Saccharomyces cerevisiae S288C: one gene and its partners. Changing the gene in region 2 together with the main gene of any one other region gives a genetic interaction. Each region holds a gene or a part of one and is shown on either strand. Other genes may lie near its edges.

Region 1 (4,408 bases), on a different chromosome or scaffold from region 2:
TCCACCATTAAGAAAAACCCATTAGAATCTTTGTCCTCATTGGAAGCTTTTTCCAAGGCACCCAAAGCCACCTTGACTTGTTCCTTAAGGGAAGGATACTCCTTTTCATCTCTGTCAATTTCAAAAGGAATGTCGTTATCTGCAAAGAGACCCAAGAAAGGTAAAGTAACGTTTTCACCGTGGCTTTTCAACAAAGAATCAAAATTTTTACGGTCACCCACGTACTGCCAGCCATTAGATTGAGCCTCATCGATTAAATCTCTTCCATCTTTTCTAGCACCGTGGTGACCATATGGAGAAGCCTTTTCGCCTTGAGGGTAGAAATGGCTCCTGCCGCCACCCATGAGTAAGTCTACTACTCTCCCCAGAGGATATTCGCCTAACTGGTGCGTAGCGATAAGATCTTCCTGCCATCTGTAATCAACATGTGAACTGAATGAAGCCGGAGTGGCATCTGTGATTCTTGTCGTAACAACAAGCCCAGTGAGATAACCTGCTAACTTAGCCGCCTCGAGCACTGTACCACAAGGTCTGTGATGCGGATCAACACCGATGGCCCCATTATAGCTCTTTAATGCACATGCAAATGCGGTGGCGCCCGCAGCTGAGTCAGTGACTAGTGAGTCCGAGGACCTTGTTCTCGAAGACCCGATAAAATGCTCGTCAAGTGTCAGGATGTCGTCTATAGGTAAATCATTAACATGCTGGTTGAATGATCTTGCCATGGACAAAGACGCAGGTCCCATCCCATCCGTCACGAAGAATATGACATTCTTCTTCTTGTGTGATGCAGAACGTAATGCAAAACTGCTTGGAAATGCCAGTTGCACTAAAACCAGCAACAAACCAATACAGACCACAGTGGATACTATTATCTTTGATCTCTTCGAGATCCGTCTCTTTTTAGGACGAGAGCTCGAGTCAGATCCAGGAACAAGACGTGTCTGTTCGCTTGGTAATGTGTGAGTCATCATGCTGCTAATGCGCGTTCAAATAATGTCCCGTATGCTGATATGTAAATGTTTATGTAGCCACTTGCTGGCAAAATGTGGAGCACGAAAAAATATAAACGTTTAGATACACTTCTTTCTTTATATACTAAAATCCCTTTACTTTTCCTCTACGCGCGAAGCTTATCGCTATCGTCAATGCTGCTATTCATGTCGATGCTGCTCTTCCGTTAGACGCGCCTTACGAGGGGTGTACAAAGAGGACATCCGCTGCTGTTCTTGCCACTCGTTCGTCAGTTTTGCCCTCAACGCTTCACATTTCTTGTCAATCTGCTCTTCCGAGAGCGTTTCTTCCTCCTCCAGTCGGTCCCGTAGCTCGCTAACTTGTACTTCAATCTCACGTTTCTCCATATGAGTCTCTATCTGTTTCTGCACAGCAAGAGGCCTGCTTGCCTTGTCATGGCTGGCCTTTTTGATCGCATTTTGTCGTTGTTGCCGCTGCTGTTGACTACCCTGTGGTCTGCGCCTATTGTTGCTAGCAAGTGATCGCTGCACGTGGCCCGACGTAGATGACCCTTTTGCCGACTTGAGCCCTATTCCGTTGTACGACATGACTGGACGGTGATGCAGTAGCTGTTAACCGTCGAATGGTATTGTGTAGAGCTCAAATTAGGATTACACAGATTATAATACCACACTTATAGTGCCATTCTTGAGGTCTTACTTGATTCTTCCTTGCCTTTACCCGCACGCTTAATATAATTTTTCCTTCTTATCTGCTACGCCTTCTTCTAGTAGGAAAAAAAAAAGAAATTTGGTGAAGAAACAGTCTGAAAAGGAGATAATTTGCGATTTAATTCGTTTATACATTTTATGAATCTATAATACTGGAAGTGATATCCATATTCGCAAGCAGTTCCACTCGAAAGCATGGCCCTCTTTCTCAGTAAGAGACTGTTGAGATTTACCGTCATTGCAGGTGCGGTTATTGTTCTCCTCCTAACATTGAATTCCAACAGTAGAACTCAGCAATATATTCCGAGTTCCATCTCCGCTGCATTTGATTTTACCTCAGGATCTATATCCCCTGAACAACAAGTCATCTCTGAGGAAAATGATGCTAAAAAATTAGAGCAAAGTGCTCTGAATTCAGAGGCAAGCGAAGACTCCGAAGCCATGGATGAAGAATCCAAGGCTCTGAAAGCTGCCGCTGAAAAGGCAGATGCCCCGATCGACACTAAAACAACCATGGATTATATCACTCCATCTTTTGCTAACAAAGCTGGTAAGCCAAAAGCTTGTTACGTCACTTTGGTGAGAAACAAGGAGTTGAAAGGTTTGCTAAGCTCCATTAAATATGTGGAAAACAAAATTAACAAGAAATTCCCATATCCTTGGGTTTTCCTAAACGATGAACCTTTTACTGAAGAATTCAAGGAAGCAGTCACCAAAGCTGTTTCTTCCGAAGTTAAGTTTGGTATTTTGCCCAAGGAACATTGGTCATATCCTGAATGGATTAATCAAACCAAGGCTGCTGAAATTCGTGCAGATGCTGCCACCAAATACATATACGGTGGCTCCGAATCTTATAGACACATGTGTCGTTACCAATCTGGGTTTTTCTGGAGACATGAATTATTAGAAGAGTACGATTGGTACTGGCGTGTGGAACCAGACATCAAGTTATACTGTGATATTAATTACGACGTTTTTAAGTGGATGCAAGAAAACGAAAAAGTTTACGGCTTTACCGTTTCTATTCATGAATATGAAGTGACGATCCCAACACTATGGCAAACGTCCATGGATTTCATCAAAAAGAACCCCGAATACTTAGATGAAAACAACCTGATGAGTTTTCTTTCGAACGATAATGGTAAAACATACAATCTGTGCCATTTCTGGTCAAACTTTGAAATTGCAAACTTGAATTTGTGGAGGTCACCAGCCTACAGAGAGTATTTTGACACTTTGGATCATCAAGGTGGATTTTTCTACGAAAGATGGGGCGATGCTCCCGTTCATTCTATTGCTGCTGCTTTGTTTTTGCCAAAGGATAAAATCCATTATTTTTCAGACATTGGTTACCATCATCCACCTTATGATAACTGCCCATTGGACAAGGAGGTCTATAACAGTAACAACTGTGAATGTGACCAAGGTAATGATTTCACTTTCCAAGGTTACTCTTGTGGTAAGGAATATTATGATGCTCAAGGGTTGGTAAAGCCAAAAAACTGGAAAAAATTCCGTGAGTAGAAATCTTGGAACATACTGTTTCTTTGTTTTGACTTTATACTTTCTATTTATATTTTATTTTTATAACTGGTTAAGTACACATAGGACTGCGTATCAAACATATAAGTGAGGCAATCCACATTTTTTTTAAAGATTCGAATATTTTTATTCTCATTAGCGTATTCCGAGAATAGTTCGAAAAAATATAAGGTATATCAAGAGTTTTTACAAGTGAGAGGAAAGAGGAATAAGCTATAAGCAACAAAAGCGTAAAAAAATTAGCTGAAGACATAGAACTATGGATGTTCTCAAAGAGGTGTTGTCACTAGACCAAGATAAATTTGACCAGCTGAAGGAAACGAGCCGAGATAAAACAAATGAAACGGATGATCCTTTTGAAAACTATTTGAAGGATTGTAAATTTAAAGCGCCTTCAAACAAAGATCAGTCACCATTTGCTAAACTTAAATCATTACAGGAAACTCATTCTAACAATGAAGCGGCTATTAATATAATTATTCCTCAATTGATTGATTACTTAACCGAATTCACTAATAGGTTATCAAATTACACACAAGATTTAGACTTCATTAAAAAAAAGTCCAATGAATTACAGTCATTGCTCGAATACAACTCCACTAAACTGGCACATATCTCTCCTATGGTTAATGATTTGATGATTCCTCCTGAACTCATTGATGACATCATTAAAGGGAAGATCAATGAAAGCTGGCAGGATAATATAACATTCATAGCAGATAAAGAAGAAATTTATAACAAGTATAGGTCCAATAATCTCGATCAAGACAACAAGGACGCAGAAAATTCAGCAATGCTAGCACCAAAGGATTTTGATAAGTTATGTCAACTCCTGGACATCCTAAAAAATGTTATTCTAGAAAGGTCGAAAAGACTTATTATTTCCAAAATCAAAACTTTGAGGAGTCATAACCCAGTACCATCGCAAAGGATACAAAACAAATTATTAAAAGTTCAAAAAATTTTCCCCTTCATAAGAGATAATAATCTCTCCTTAGCCCTTGAGTTAAGACAGGCATATTGTTACACAATGAAATGGTATTATAGAGAATACTTTTCTAGATATATCAGGTCATTGACTATTTTGCAATTTCAACAAATCGACTCGCAATTTGCATTGGGTAATGGCCTTTCTACAACTTCAGTGAGTGGGTTTAACAATTCACCATCATTGTTTTTCT
Region 2 (4,518 bases):
ATGCCGAGCATAATAATAAGAAACTAATGATATTAAAAGACACTGAAAATATGAAAAACCAAAAGTTGCAGGAGAAAAATGAGGTCTTGGACAAACAAACCAACGTTAAGTCAGAAATCGATGATTTGAACAATGAGAAAACGAATGTCCAAAAGGAGTTCAATGACTGGACCACGAACTTAAGTAACTTATCTCAACAGTTGGATGCTCAGATCTTTAAGATTAACCAGATTAATTTGAAACAAGGCAAAGTTCAAAACGAAATCGATAATCTGGAAAAGAAAAAGGAGGATTTGGTTACCCAAACTGAAGAAAATAAGAAGCTGCATGAAAAAAATGTACAAGTTTTGGAAAGTGTAGAGAACAAGGAATATCTTCCACAAATTAATGATATTGATAATCAAATATCAAGCTTATTGAACGAAGTGACCATAATCAAGCAGGAAAACGCCAATGAAAAAACTCAACTATCGGCAATTACCAAAAGACTCGAAGATGAGCGCCGCGCTCATGAAGAACAGTTGAAGCTAGAAGCTGAAGAAAGAAAACGCAAAGAAGAGAACTTATTGGAAAAACAGCGCCAAGAGCTGGAGGAACAAGCGCATCAGGCTCAATTAGATCATGAGCAGCAAATTACTCAAGTCAAGCAAACCTATAATGACCAATTGACTGAACTACAGGATAAGCTGGCAACCGAAGAGAAAGAACTGGAGGCAGTCAAGAGGGAAAGAACGCGATTACAAGCTGAAAAGGCTATCGAGGAACAAACTCGCCAGAAAAACGCTGATGAGGCCTTGAAGCAAGAAATATTGAGTAGGCAGCACAAACAAGCTGAAGGTATACACGCGGCTGAAAACCACAAAATACCAAATGACCGTTCACAAAAGAATACGAGCGTCCTTCCAAAGGACGATTCCTTGTATGAATATCATACTGAGGAAGACGTCATGTATGCCTAAAAAAAATAATATTCCACTTTTGTTCAAGGAATATCCCACCTCTATTTTATTTTTCTCTTCTATTCTTTGTCGAGTATCATCAAGTTATCCTTTGATTATTTTCACCCTTCCTAATCTACCTCTCTTTGTAACCGTTTTATGTACCAATATTTACTCAATCAACAATTTATCAACCAGTTAGTTATTCTCTAGTGTTTCGTGCTCAAATAACCGAGTAAGATGGACTCTCTTCTGAAGCACTTTTGCGGGCATTTAACCTCAGCTCGTCACGTGACGGTCGATGAAAAATCCAGGGTATTAAAACTTTCCTTTGGTTATATCGGTATATTCTAAATAAAAGAGAAGCTTATTCTGATCCTTTTGATTCCCTGCTCAATTTTTCATTGAATTGTTTATTTTTGTCATTAATGAAGCTTTCAACCCCATACAGTGTTTTTGCATTTTGCATTTGTCTTTTTCTTGCTTCGTATCTTTTTTTCGACTCAGATTGCAAAGAAACGGCCAACTTATTAACTAGCTTGTCGTCATCTGCAATTGTTATCTTACCCGTCTTAGTGTCCTTCTGTACCTTGCCGATTCTACCCTTCTTGGGTACGTTTTTATTGTCTTCTTCATCGGCGGAACTATCCTGTTTGCTCGAATTCTGTGTTTGCGTAGCGAGATTCCGCAAGGTCTTCTCATAACTCAATTTTGCAAGTTGATCATAGGAAATTCCACCTCTTTGGCTTTGCCCAGTCTTCCCTTGAGGATGCCTACGTTCCCACGCATCATATTCTTGGACAGTGTAATGAAATGCTTTCTCTTTTTCAGGACTTTCTGTATCTCCTACTGATTCATCTGCATCATTTACGTCTTCCATACTGTATACTCTTGGTTTTCGATTTGCGCTTACTTCCTGAATCTCTCTGTCAGCCAACTTCCTACTCTTTATAGATACATCTACTCTTTTCCTTTTCAACTCCTTCAGCTTCTCGTCTAATTTGTAAAAATCCATTCTTCGAATACTTTGACAAGATATGGTTTTGCTTCGCTTACAGTTCAATAGAGAAGTCAAACATTGTCATTGAGAGCCCCTCATCGCAAATATTGCTCTTTTAAGGAAAATATAGTAATATTCTAGCTTTTTTGTCATTCTACACGGAAATGTCTGTATTTTTCAAATTTTTTCATTATGCTGTAGCAGATGCCTGAAAAATTTGAAAACTTTGATGAGATGAGGTCACTGTTAAATTTGTAATATTATATGTCACACCTAGCGCTCCTTGAACAGCAAATCATTCCGGAGGATAGTAAAGATTCAAAATGCCATCCCTGTCTCAACCATTTAGACTAGCAACTCTCCCAAAAATTGCTTCATTGAGCAATTTTTCTTTACAAGCAGATTACGTTCAAGTCGCAGATGGCACCTTTAATGAATCTACAAATAACATAACGTTAGGTATTTCCGGGTCATCTATATCTCAATATATTATTAATCCTACACCAAAGTTAACATTCGATTACCCAATACCCTCTACAAATATTATCACGGCATGCAATGCTGAGAAAGGTCAAGCGAACATTGACGGAAATATAGAAGCCAGTACCGATGATGAAGCCAACAACGAGAAGACTATCAACACCCAAAAAAAAAGAAATGTTGAAATTTGGGCCTTTGGTTTAATGGTAAATAAGGGTAATTATACGCTAAATGTTATCACTAAGGCACTGGAAGATACCACTGATACCTCAAATGACCATCTGAGTGAGAGTGATATTGACAATAAAGCATACACGGGTTCAGACGAATTTTTATCTCAGTATAAGATCAAGGCGAAAGCCAAAGTCATGAGTATTAAAATTGACACCAAGAACAGCTTAGTAATTGCAATTTTACAGAACGGGTTGATTGAAATTTTTGATTTTAAGTTAACACTTTTGCATTCATTTGATATATCTTATGATAACTTAAAATATGCTAAATGGTTCACTGAAAATGGAACTGAATATGTTTTTGTTCTCTGTCCATTACAGGATGATAAAGTCTGCTATAAATTGCTCGAGCTAACAGATTGTGGCAGTGGAGAAAGTTCGCCCATAAAAGAATTATCATCTACTATCATCGAAGGATTTTCTTTTGAAAATTCAAAGCTTTGTTATCAATTTGGAAAACTTTACAAATTGAACCAGGGGAAAATATACATTTACTCTTTACCACATTGCCAATTGCAACAAGTTATTGAATTTCCGATGGTGGATAAACTCAGTCCTGGAGATGACTTAATCTCTTTCCAACCTGTTTCAGTAAACAGAGTTCTACTGACCGTAAACAACGTCATTTATCTACTAGACTTACTGCATTGTTCTACTTTAAGCCAAAGAGAATTAACTCACGTGAAAACATTCCAACTATTAAAATCTGCAGTGATCAATTCAGAAAAGTCGCATAATTCAAAAACAATAGCAATTGGTATTTCAACGAAAAATGGACCAAACCCAACGTCTTCCTTAGAAATAATTAATATTGATGTTGGAACTAATACGTTGAAGGACTCATTAGGCAAGAGTTTTCAAGTTGGAAATAATGATAGCTCAGTTATTTTAAAGCCGCTATTTGATGATAAAGACATAAATGACAAGAGAGTGAAATGTAACGACGTCAGCGGGGATTCAAGCGTTCCAGTCCTCCACTGTAATGAAGTTATTGAAAAGCTTTCAGCCCTTCAAGATAATGACATTACATCATTTGATGACATATTTTTCAAAGAACTAAAAATCAAAGAAGAACATTATACTGAAAAAGATAGATATATTTCTGATCCTGGCTTTTTGAATAAAGTTTTAGATCTAATTTTCGGAAAGTTTAGCGGAAATGATTATCCAAAAACTTTAACGTTTTTATTGACACACCCATTGTTTCCATTGAGTCGTACACGCAACTTGCTATCCTTACTAAGAGACCAACCTAGATTATTTAAACAAGCAATTGTAACATGCCCAAACTTGCCATTAAATGAACTACTTGAAGAATTGTTTTCTATCAGAAACAGGGAACTATTACTTGATATCTCATTTAGGATTTTGCAGGATTTCACCAGAGACTCTATTAAACAAGAAATGAAGAAACTAAGTAAATTAGACGTTCAAAATTTCATTGAGTTCATAACAAGCGGTGGTGAAGACAGCTCACCAGAATGCTTCAACCCTAGCCAAAGCACGCAGCTATTTCAACTCTTGTCCCTTGTGCTAGATTCTATCGGGCTATTTTCATTAGAAGGTGCTCTATTGGAGAACTTAACCTTATATATTGACAAACAAGTTGAGATTGCTGAAAGAAATACCGAATTGTGGAATTTGATTGATACGAAAGGTTTTCAGCATGGGTTTGCTAGCTCAACCTTTGATAACGGAACTTCTCAGAAGCGAGCCTTACCCACTTACACCATGGAATACTTGGACATTTGAGTATGCAATGAATTTGATTGTATTGTATAATACCTATATAGAAAAGGAACTAATATATATAGCGTCTACTGTGGTTACTGATAAACTAACAGGCATTTAGAATTTGAAAACATCA
Region 3 (5,184 bases), on a different chromosome or scaffold from region 2:
TTAACAGTTGGCATATCTTACATTTTCCGGATTATGTATCAAATAAACTTTATCTATGAATAGTTAGAGTACCACAGTAGAATCGAAGTTGCGCCTTTATCATTAACTAACAATTTTTTTGTGGGAACCGAACTATTATGTCTCCTGGAACAAATCTTTTGACTTTTAACCCGGAGCAAATTGCGAATCCTTGTCAAATTTTGAACTTCATCATAGCGGATAAGATCCTTATGAATCACTTCATCTAATCGCTCTCGTTTTTCTCGGTATGCTCCAGTTATTTCAATTGGGATGTTGTTATCAAAGAAAACTGGTTTTTCCATGAACATAGTCAGGAAAAGTTCGTCACCAAATTGGCTTTTTATAATCAAAAACGATTTACAGATATCACGAATTTCTCTACTCACAGATTTAGTATTATCTCGAGCAGTGAAGCTTCTCATAATTGAAATATTTCCAGGCGCGTATTGTCTGCCATAATGGGAGAGAGATACATCGCATCCCATAGGAACTTTAACCATTGTTTCGTTAATACTTTTTTCAATACCTTTAAACGGCGTTTCATTCGCGCTATCAAGTAATGTATTATTTACCACTGCTTTAAACTCGGGATTCGAGCCAGGTGATCGCGTTAAGACCTCTGTTGTATAATCTTTAGTTAATAAGTCGTACTCATCAAAATTGCCATAGGTGAAATTTTCATCGCTTTGGTTCAAAGTTACCATATTTTGCCTACCAATGCTGAGAACTGACTCCTTTGAATGTAAAACTGTGGATTCCTCATAATTTCTCTCTTCGGTAACGTCACTTCGATTATTGAGGCAGTCTTCATTAAAGTTTATTACAATGGATATGGTATCACCAGTCTTGAACCTACAATCATCTATTTTAGGTGAGCTCGTAGGCATTATTGGAAAAGTGTTCTTTCTCTTAATAGAAGAGATTAAATACCCGATAATCACACCCAAAATTATTGTGGATGCCCAGATATCTTCTTGGTCATTGTTTTTTTTCGCTTCAATCTGTAATCTCTCTGCAAAATTTCGGGAGCCAATAGTGACAACATCGTCAATAATAAGTTTGATGGAATCGGAAAAAGATCTTAAAAATGTAAATGAGTATTTCCAAATAATGGCCAAAATGCTCTTTATATTGGAAAATAAAATAGTTGTTTCGCTCTTCGTAGTATTTAACATTTCCGTTCTTATCATTGTAAAGTCTGAGCCATATTCATATGGAAAAGTGCTTTTTAAACCTAGTTCCTCCATATTTTAGTTTTTTATCGATATTGGAAAAAAAAGAGCTATCAGAAATCAGTCAATATATCATGTACCTATGGAACCTTATCTTTCTCAAAATAATAAATTATAGTGATACTTTTAGAATTGTGTCACTTTCTTTTTATTTGTACTTACAAAATTCGGCCGAGTTATCATCTCGGTAACCGAGAGGAAGAGCCCGAGCAGCTAAAAGCGACAAACCGTACAGATAAAATGTTCGTGCTAATCCAAACTGCAGCATTCCGTATAAATTTGTCAGATATACTGATCAACTTAGATAAAGTTCCCCACTCAACCTGCTTTTGTTTATTACTTGCAAGGTAGATGGATGGTCGAAATTGATCAAACAGTTCGTTTCTTCAACCCATGATTTTTCTTACGTTTCATCTATATTGTTAACTTGTTAGCGCGAGGTTTCGATTTCTTTGATCTGTCCTTATGAACTTTTTTTGATGTCTTTTTCTTGTCATTCTTTGCGTTATCTGTGCTTTTTGTAGGAAAAGAAAGCCCTAGCTCCAACTGAATAAGCTTATTCAAACTTAAACTAAGTTTTATATTTTCTGCAGTGTTGGTTCCGAATGACGCAGCTGAAAAGCCAGACGACCACGGAATGATAAAGATTCTAAAACGGTCAATAAGTAAAACTCCTCTCTTTAGGCCCTTTGGTGTGACAAGTGTCTCACTTATTTTACTGACAAACCGCTCCCCCAATTCACTAGATTGAAATCTTAGGCCACCACACTTCGCCTTGTGGTTGACTATTAATGACAATGAATTTCCATCCTTCCATTTCTTTATACCCAATAATTGCGAAACTGTATCAGTTATTTTCCATTCAGGGATCGAGGCATCAATATTATACAGAAAAAATGATTTGGTGGAGGGGTTTTTTAAAAACGATTCATTCAAGGGTAGTTTCTTCAAAATATGAGAAATGTCCACGGACGCGTACTTTTCCAAGTTTTTGACCTCATTTGCACCTTTTTCATTTTTATACAATGCAGTTGTGTTTTTTATTAACGGAGTACTTGGGCCATCTGATGTTGCTCGCAGAAGTATATTTTTCAATTTATCAACGATATTATCTGCTTCTGACGGATCACTCGTAATCTGAGCTCCTCCTAATTTCACGTTTTTTAGTGACAGAAACCTTTTCATCATGTCGTTTTTTGCTTCCTCCGTCATAACGTTTTCCTCGTTCACAAGGGATATTAAATGATCCCGCAGTTGTATAGGGATGTGCCATCTTGAATCAAGCATACAGCATTGACAAATGTTTCTCTGAGTGGCGCACCGTACACATATTAATGTTTTAATGATATTATTGCTTCGTTTAGACGTCTTAAAATGGTATAAGGTGAACGGTAAGGTACAAATCTTACATTCAGAGCCTTGTGGAATTTTAGTCATTCGTATATTAGCCTCATCACCTAAGCACTGCTCACATATATTGGGCGGTGGCTCATTAATTTCATCATTCATTATATTAAGGGTGCAATAACTCTTTTCCGTTAGCTACCTTCTATTCACCTGCTCAAAAGCCCTTCCATCATCATTACCACTTCTATCAATAAAATTTGCCATAGCATTTCTTTTTTTTTTTTTTAGTCCTTATTGCCTAAACGTCATCACAGGAGAGGGTAATCCCGGAATGAATAAGGTTTGAAACTTCACGTCCCTCCGGGTTGTGACTTAAAAAAATTACGAAAGAGAACCGACTATCGTTCCTGCTATTGTTCTTGGTGAGTATTACTAACCCGCTTAGTTTTATTACTATTTATCAGTCTTTTATTTGTACGTTATTTGAATATTTAAATGTTTTTGGCTGAGCTCACTCACATCAACTGCTAGCCTCCCTCCTCTTCCAGTTTCTTTTCTTCTTGTTTGCATGAGTTCGATAATGCTGATTACAGTTATCATGTCTACTAAACCTCTGTCCACAGCCCTCATGCGGACAGATATGATTTTTTTCACCTGTATGGATTCTGTTATGTCTTGAAAGATGACCAGAAGTGGTGAACCCAGTAGAGCAGATCTTACAGAAATGACGAGTCCTCTGTCCTGCTGTATTGGTTTTCGTAGATTTCAATTTTATCACGGTTTTTGTCGGTTTGCTTATTTTAATTGAGCTATATGGATCTGATTTACCGTTACCGGTATTCTCTGCTTTTACAATATTAATATTTTGCAATGGCAGTATCGGTGACGTTTTTCCACTTGCTGTTAATCTTGAAATAGTCCCGTCACTCGTTCTGTTCGCTTGTTTTCCGGAGAAAAAATCGAAAGCGCACTTATTCAATTTATCTTTCAAGTCATCATCAATTAGATGTGATGTTTTCATCAAGGGTATCAGGGTTTGGTATTTCCTTTCATTGTTAAAAGAGAACATTTCAGGCATAAGAGTTATCTGGGAGGGCGAACATTCGAAATTGATGGGAAATTCACATTTCCTATCTTTAGCTAGAATAGTTGACATCAAGTTGTCTTTGTAACCTATGGACATCTGGAAATTTTGTAGAAGCTTTATATTTTTTGTTCTTCGAACAGTAGCGAGTGCTCATATGACTTGGTGCCGGAAATTCATTTGAGCTGTCATAATATGATAAATATTTATATGTAAAAATTTAGGCCAGATAATATATAAAAGATAAACGATTTAAAGAGGGTGTAGGATTTGCCTGTTAGCGATGTAGGAGCTACTGCACGATGTAGCATGTAATAGCCAGACGTGATTCCCCTAAACTCAGGCCCTTCTCCAAGGAGAATGCAACGGTAGGCAGTTCGTTTGAAATTGAAACTTTTCTCAACGACAATGATGTCCCGCAGCATAAGAAAACATGAGATCAGAAAAGCGTTGCAAAACGCAGAAGCCACTTATCAAGAGCTACGGCTGCGCGTTTTTCTGGGACGTGCTGACAAACGAGAAAAAAGATGGCTTTGTATTCAGTTCAAGGCCCTGTGTATTTTTTTCCTTCAAGAAATTTTTATTTTGGCCTGGGGTCTTTAAACGGACGGGTGCCCTGAGAGTACTCTCGCATAATCCAGGGATGGCTTTTTCACAGTCGTTTAACATTCGTTTATGAAGTAAAGAAAAAAAATACCAAACCCCGTTAAAAGAGAAAAAAGGTAGCCGAACATTGAAGCAGCCCATGCCAGTTTGTCCTTGGGCAGATAGTTTTCCGTCTGGCTTGAAAGGTTATAGTCTCCTTTTTTTCTTGGCTTCGGGAAAAATACGATTTGTTTGTTATTCTATATGCAGAGCCGCTGCTCTGCAGGGATTTATGATCTCGAGTGCCATTGATCTTGAAGCATCTTTTGTTGAAAGGATTTGTATGACATCATACCCGAACTTTTTTAGCACGTGAAAATGGAGAAGTCTATGGTTTTAGAGGTTGCTATTAAGGCATTTTCTAAACTTGAGGGTTGTTTGATCTTATGTTGGTTGGTTGTAAGCCAGCCGGTGTAGCCACGTGTTAAATCTTGACTTTTTTTCCCGAAGAGGGTCTGGTCCTGTCTATTTTGTTTCATGCATATTTTTTCTCAAGGAGAAAGACTCTTCGCTGCGCCTTGGCATAATAACGTCTTCGGTAGGGTCCATTTTTTTAACGTTGGCGATGCCCATATTTAGCTCGTTTGGTCGTTCCTTCGAAAGATAATCGTTCGTAAATTAAAAATAAAAGAGAGTAGTTTTCGAGCAACGAGTAGCCAGCTGGTGCCAATTGTCAAGAAAGGAAACATTTCTTACGGATTGGGAAGAAGCACTAATCTCGAAAAAGAGAACGTTTTTAGAAAGTTTTAGAAGTTGATTATATTAATGAAGAAAAAATTTTCGAACTAACAATTACATAAAGAGAAGGTATAATAATGGAGGTAATTTTTCAAATATTTGTTGTAAAAGGTTCCC
Region 4 (4,855 bases), on a different chromosome or scaffold from region 2:
ACTACTTCACTGTTTAGCATAATCTGCACGAGATTGGAATCTTTGGAAGAGATATCCTTTAGTTTTTTTGATAACGCTTGCACGATTTCAAAACCTGGTGGTAATTTGCCAGAAGATCTATGGGTCCTTGGAACAGAGTGACCGCCCAATTGCGCAAGGAGGTCTAATTTCAAATCGAATTCTGTTTGCAACCACCTGATAGCACTCTTGGATTCCTTAGTCAACTTATCCATCAGTGATGGAACCCCTCTGCCTTTAGCCGAATGCAAAGTATCTTTCAAAAACAATTCGGGAGTGTCCATTACCTTTAAATTTTGTTGAGTGTCTGTGTGAGCACCATTAATACCACTAGAAGCCTTTATAGAATTCCCACCAATAGAAGCCGCCTTATCCAAAAGCACAACAGGAATTCTGTATTTACTAATGAGACGATTACTTGTGGTTAAGCCTGCCAAACCAGAGCCAATGACCACCACTGGTTGTTTCATTGACGTTTGATCTGTGCCACTTAATGTTCTTTTCAAAACTATTATCAATACGAATATTGAGACGTAAATGAAAACCCTTCTCACAGATCTAATCATTTTCCTAAGACTCGGGATGATATAGAATTATTAAGGTATTTCCTATCATAAAATCTTTCCCTTTTCGGCGGTTTTGTTTTAAATCTGGATTTCTAAGCAAAGGATTTTCGCTAGTTTTTTTTTTTCAAGTAGCTCGTAAAAAGAAAACGAGAGCTACTCCTGCATGATTCATATAAGATTTGACGAGTGTATAAGATACATTTGTATTGGTGTACATTATGAAATCTATGTAATCTACCTAAGCGTAAAAAGGAGATCTTGCCTTCGATAACTAGTACGGTGGAAGAATTACATTTAATAACGAACGGGACAATATGATATCATAGAAGAAAAAAAAATGAGTCCCGATCACTATTTTACTTCATATCTGCAGCTCGGACATGTTTGAAGATTATAATGCTTGTGATGGTCATTCGAAATAGTGCCTCTTCTAAATGTTTGAATAATTTTCCATAGCTAAAGGTTAAGTTCATCCATTAGTTTCTTTTTTCTTCTTTGCACTAACCAATGCTCCATATCTGCCAGAGTTGGTACATGGATTTCTTGTGTCTGCCTTGACATTTCTTCTTCATCTTCATTCACAGGCACATTATAATGTGCTTTCAAAATGGATGTCCAGTTAGCCTCAAATTCGGTTAAGGCGGCTGTGACTTTGCCATGGTAATAAAAATCATTTCTATCCTTCGGTATGCATTTGGTGTTTATAGAACCCCCATCATTCTGCCTTTGAGACTGCTTGAGCCATTCTTTTACTTCAGGCAATTCCAGGGCTCTTCCAAAATATCTCTTACCATTTATCAGCTTTCCTGAATTCATCAGCACATGACTGTCTTCTAACCTTTTCCTCTTGGTTTTTTTTTCCATAAGTGTATGGTCAATGTGCCACTGCCATCTCTTCCATTCTTTGAAAAGATTATTAAGTTCGTCGTTAAGTTCCGCAATCTGCATTTCATTTAAAGACGGATCATATATTCTTGTGCTTTTTTGTTTTATCTCTTTACTTACTTGTCGCTTCCATTCGTTGGCCTCTTTTATGGATTTTACCTTAGACACGTTCCTGGGCCTCTGGTAACGTGAATAATCCTTGTATCCACCTGCCGACTCTGCTTGCTGCTCTTGAAATCGTACCAGAACTGAGTTGGCCTTATCTACATTTCTACTCATTTTGAATGCACAGGTATCTGATTACTGATGTGGTGCGCCTTGCGATATAACGGTGTGTCACTTTTATTTGCTCTTTCATGCATCCTGAAATTATTTCACCGCACTACGCAAAGAGAACGGAGAAAAAGGTATAATAGGGCAAATGATCATTGACATCGTGATCGTAAGCCAAAAAAAAATACAATAGGCTCCCTAAATAAGTAGAGTAAAAGCTCTTGAGATGAAGGAGAATGACATGAATAATGGCGTAGATAAATGGGTAAATGAGGAAGATGGTCGAAATGATCATCATAACAACAATAATAACTTGATGAAGAAGGCCATGATGAACAATGAGCAAATTGATAGAACTCAGGATATCGACAACGCCAAAGAAATGTTGAGGAAAATATCAAGTGAAAGCAGCTCGCGCAGAAGCTCCCTGTTGAATAAAGATTCATCTCTCGTGAACGGCAATGCAAACAGTGGCGGTGGTACGAGCATTAACGGAACAAGAGGAAGTTCTAAGAGTAGTAATACACACTTTCAGTATGCCTCCACGGCGTATGGTGTAAGAATGTTGAGTAAAGATATATCTAATACCAAAGTGGAACTGGATGTGGAAAATTTGATGATTGTTACGAAACTCAACGATGTCTCACTGTATTTCTTAACAAGAGAGTTGGTAGAATGGGTTTTGGTACATTTTCCACGTGTGACTGTTTATGTGGATTCCGAATTGAAAAACAGCAAAAAATTTGCCGCTGGCGAGTTATGTGAAGATAGTAAATGTAGAGAATCAAGGATCAAGTATTGGACAAAGGATTTCATCAGGGAACATGATGTTTTCTTCGATTTGGTAGTGACTTTGGGTGGCGACGGTACTGTTCTTTTTGTAAGTTCCATTTTTCAGAGACATGTACCACCCGTTATGTCGTTTTCATTAGGGTCTCTAGGATTTTTAACAAATTTTAAGTTTGAACATTTCAGGGAGGATTTACCTCGGATTATGAATCATAAAATCAAGACAAATTTACGGTTGAGGTTGGAGTGCACAATTTATCGTAGACACCGCCCTGAAGTAGACCCAAACACGGGGAAGAAAATATGTGTGGTGGAAAAACTAAGCACACACCACATTTTGAACGAAGTGACCATCGATCGTGGTCCAAGTCCTTTTCTATCCATGTTAGAATTGTATGGTGACGGCTCATTAATGACCGTTGCGCAGGCGGACGGACTGATTGCTGCTACTCCGACTGGGTCCACGGCCTATTCTTTGAGTGCAGGTGGGTCATTGGTATGCCCAACCGTCAATGCAATCGCTTTAACACCCATTTGTCCACATGCATTGAGTTTCAGACCCATCATCTTACCAGAAAGTATAAATTTAAAAGTGAAAGTCTCGATGAAGTCAAGGGCTCCAGCATGGGCGGCTTTTGATGGGAAAGATAGAATTGAATTGCAAAAAGGTGATTTTATAACCATATGCGCCAGCCCATATGCTTTTCCAACCGTGGAAGCCTCGCCCGATGAGTTTATTAACAGTATCAGTCGACAACTAAACTGGAATGTGAGGGAACAACAAAAGTCCTTTACGCATATTTTGTCCCAAAAGAACCAAGAAAAATATGCACATGAGGCGAACAAAGTCAGAAATCAAGCAGAACCTTTAGAGGTAATAAGAGATAAATACTCTCTGGAAGCAGACGCTACTAAGGAAAACAACAACGGAAGCGATGATGAGAGCGACGATGAGAGTGTAAACTGCGAAGCTTGCAAATTAAAGCCTTCGAGCGTCCCAAAACCTTCTCAAGCAAGGTTTTCAGTATAATGTTACATGCGTACACGCGTTTGTACAGAAAAAAAAGAAAAATTTGAAATATAAATAACGTTCTTAATACTAACATAACTATTAAAAAAAATAAATAGGGACCTAGACTTCAGGTTGTCTAACTCCTTCCTTTTCGGTTAGAGCGGATGTGGGAGGAGGGCGTGAATGTAAGCGTGACATAACTAATTACATGATATCGACAAAGGAAAAGGGGCCTGTTTACTCACAGGCTTTTTTCAAGTAGGTAATTAAGTCGTTTCTGTCTTTTTCCTTCTTCAACCCACCAAAGGCCATCTTGGTACCAGGAATATATTTCTTTGGGTTAGTCAAGTACTCTGACATGTTATTTTCGTCCCACAACACGTTTTTCTTGATATTGGCATCTGTGTACGAATACCCTTCAGCTTGACCAGAGTGTCTGCCAAAGATACCATGCAAGTTTGGACCAACCTTATGTGGGCCACCCTTTTCCACGGTGTGGCATTGTAGACATCTAGTCTTGAAAAGTGTAGCACCTTTCTTAGCAGAACCGGCCTTGAATTCAGTCATTATTAATTTAGTGTGTGTATTTGTGTTTGTGTGTCTATAGAAGTATAGTAATTTATGCTGCAAAGGTCCTAATGTATAAGGAAAGAATATTTAGAGAAAAGAAGAAAACAAGAGTTTTATATACATACAGAGCACATGCATGCCATATGATCATGTGTCGTCGCACACATATATATATGCCTGTATGTGTCAGCACTAAAGTTGCCTGGCCATCCACGCTATATATACACGCCTGGCGGATCTGCTCGAGGATTGCCTACGCGTGGGCTTGATCCACCAACCAACGCTCGCCAAATGAACTGGCGCTTTGGTCTTCTGCCATCGTCCGTAAACCCCGGCCAAAGAGACCGGAAAGATCGGTGAAAACATCTTGATCTTGCTCCCGGGAATTTTAGATTCAGGTAGGAAATTGATTACATCAATACTGTTACCCTGAATCATATTCGACGATGTCGTCTCACACGGAAATATAATTCATTTCTTGGTTTTCCAAAAAAATTTTCATTTTTTTTCACTTTTTTGTTTCGTCCTCCTTTTTTTTTTTTTTTTTTTATTTTTTTTCCTGTGTTCACCTTTTTTTTTTTCAGTTGACATCTTTCTGCATTCTTTTCTGTGTTTTTTTTTTTTTTTTTCGTTTTTCCATTGTTCGTTCGTTGCCTGTTTTTTCGCCCTATTGTTCTCGAGCCTAAAAATTTTTTCCTTTCCTGCTTTCCTTTCTTCGTTCAAAGTTTCCTATTCCATTGTT

Evidence for each region.
Region 1: mutations in SYF2 (region 2) and CWC21 are lethal when combined (synthetic lethality), as found in Saccharomyces cerevisiae (3 studies listed by BioGRID, with this or other methods).
Region 3: mutations in SYF2 (region 2) and ECM2 together harm fitness more than expected from each alone (negative genetic interaction), as found in Saccharomyces cerevisiae (3 studies listed by BioGRID).
Region 4: mutations in SYF2 (region 2) and ISY1 are lethal when combined (synthetic lethality), as found in Saccharomyces cerevisiae (4 studies listed by BioGRID, with this or other methods).

What each region holds. Positions count from the first base shown.
Region 1 is NC_001136.10:1,419,277-1,423,684, forward strand, and holds CWC21 (U2-type spliceosomal complex subunit CWC21), read right to left. Parts: upstream 1,563-4,408; coding exon 1,155-1,562; downstream 1-1,154. Other genes in the region: alkaline phosphatase PHO8, read right to left, coding at 1-974; alpha-1,2-mannosyltransferase KRE2, read left to right, coding at 1,881-3,209; VPS52 (Vps52p), read left to right, coding at 3,487-4,408. UniProt on the Saccharomyces cerevisiae protein: Involved in pre-mRNA splicing. May function at or prior to the first catalytic step of splicing at the catalytic center of the spliceosome, together with ISY1. May do so by stabilizing the catalytic center or the position of the RNA substrate.
Region 2 is NC_001139.9:747,835-752,352, reverse strand, and holds SYF2 (Syf2p), read right to left. Parts: upstream 1,954-4,518; coding exon 1,306-1,953; downstream 1-1,305. Other genes in the region: YGR130C (uncharacterized protein), read left to right, coding at 1-959; UTP8 (Utp8p), read left to right, coding at 2,262-4,403.
Region 3 is NC_001134.8:366,917-372,100, forward strand, and holds ECM2 (Pre-mRNA-splicing factor ECM2), read right to left. Parts: upstream 2,763-5,184; coding exon 1,668-2,762; downstream 1-1,667. Other genes in the region: CNM1 (Cnm1p), read right to left, coding at 54-1,268; NRG2 (Nrg2p), read right to left, coding at 3,121-3,783. UniProt on the Saccharomyces cerevisiae protein: Involved in pre-mRNA splicing. Facilitates the cooperative formation of U2/U6 helix II in association with stem II in the spliceosome. Binds to RNA.
Region 4 is NC_001142.9:525,590-530,444, reverse strand, and holds ISY1 (Isy1p), read right to left. Parts: upstream 1,749-4,855; coding exon 1,041-1,748; downstream 1-1,040. Other genes in the region: OSM1 (fumarate reductase), read right to left, coding at 1-584; UTR1 (NADH/NAD(+) kinase), read left to right, coding at 1,969-3,561; CYC1 (cytochrome c), read right to left, coding at 3,781-4,110. UniProt on the Saccharomyces cerevisiae protein: Involved in pre-mRNA splicing and cell cycle control.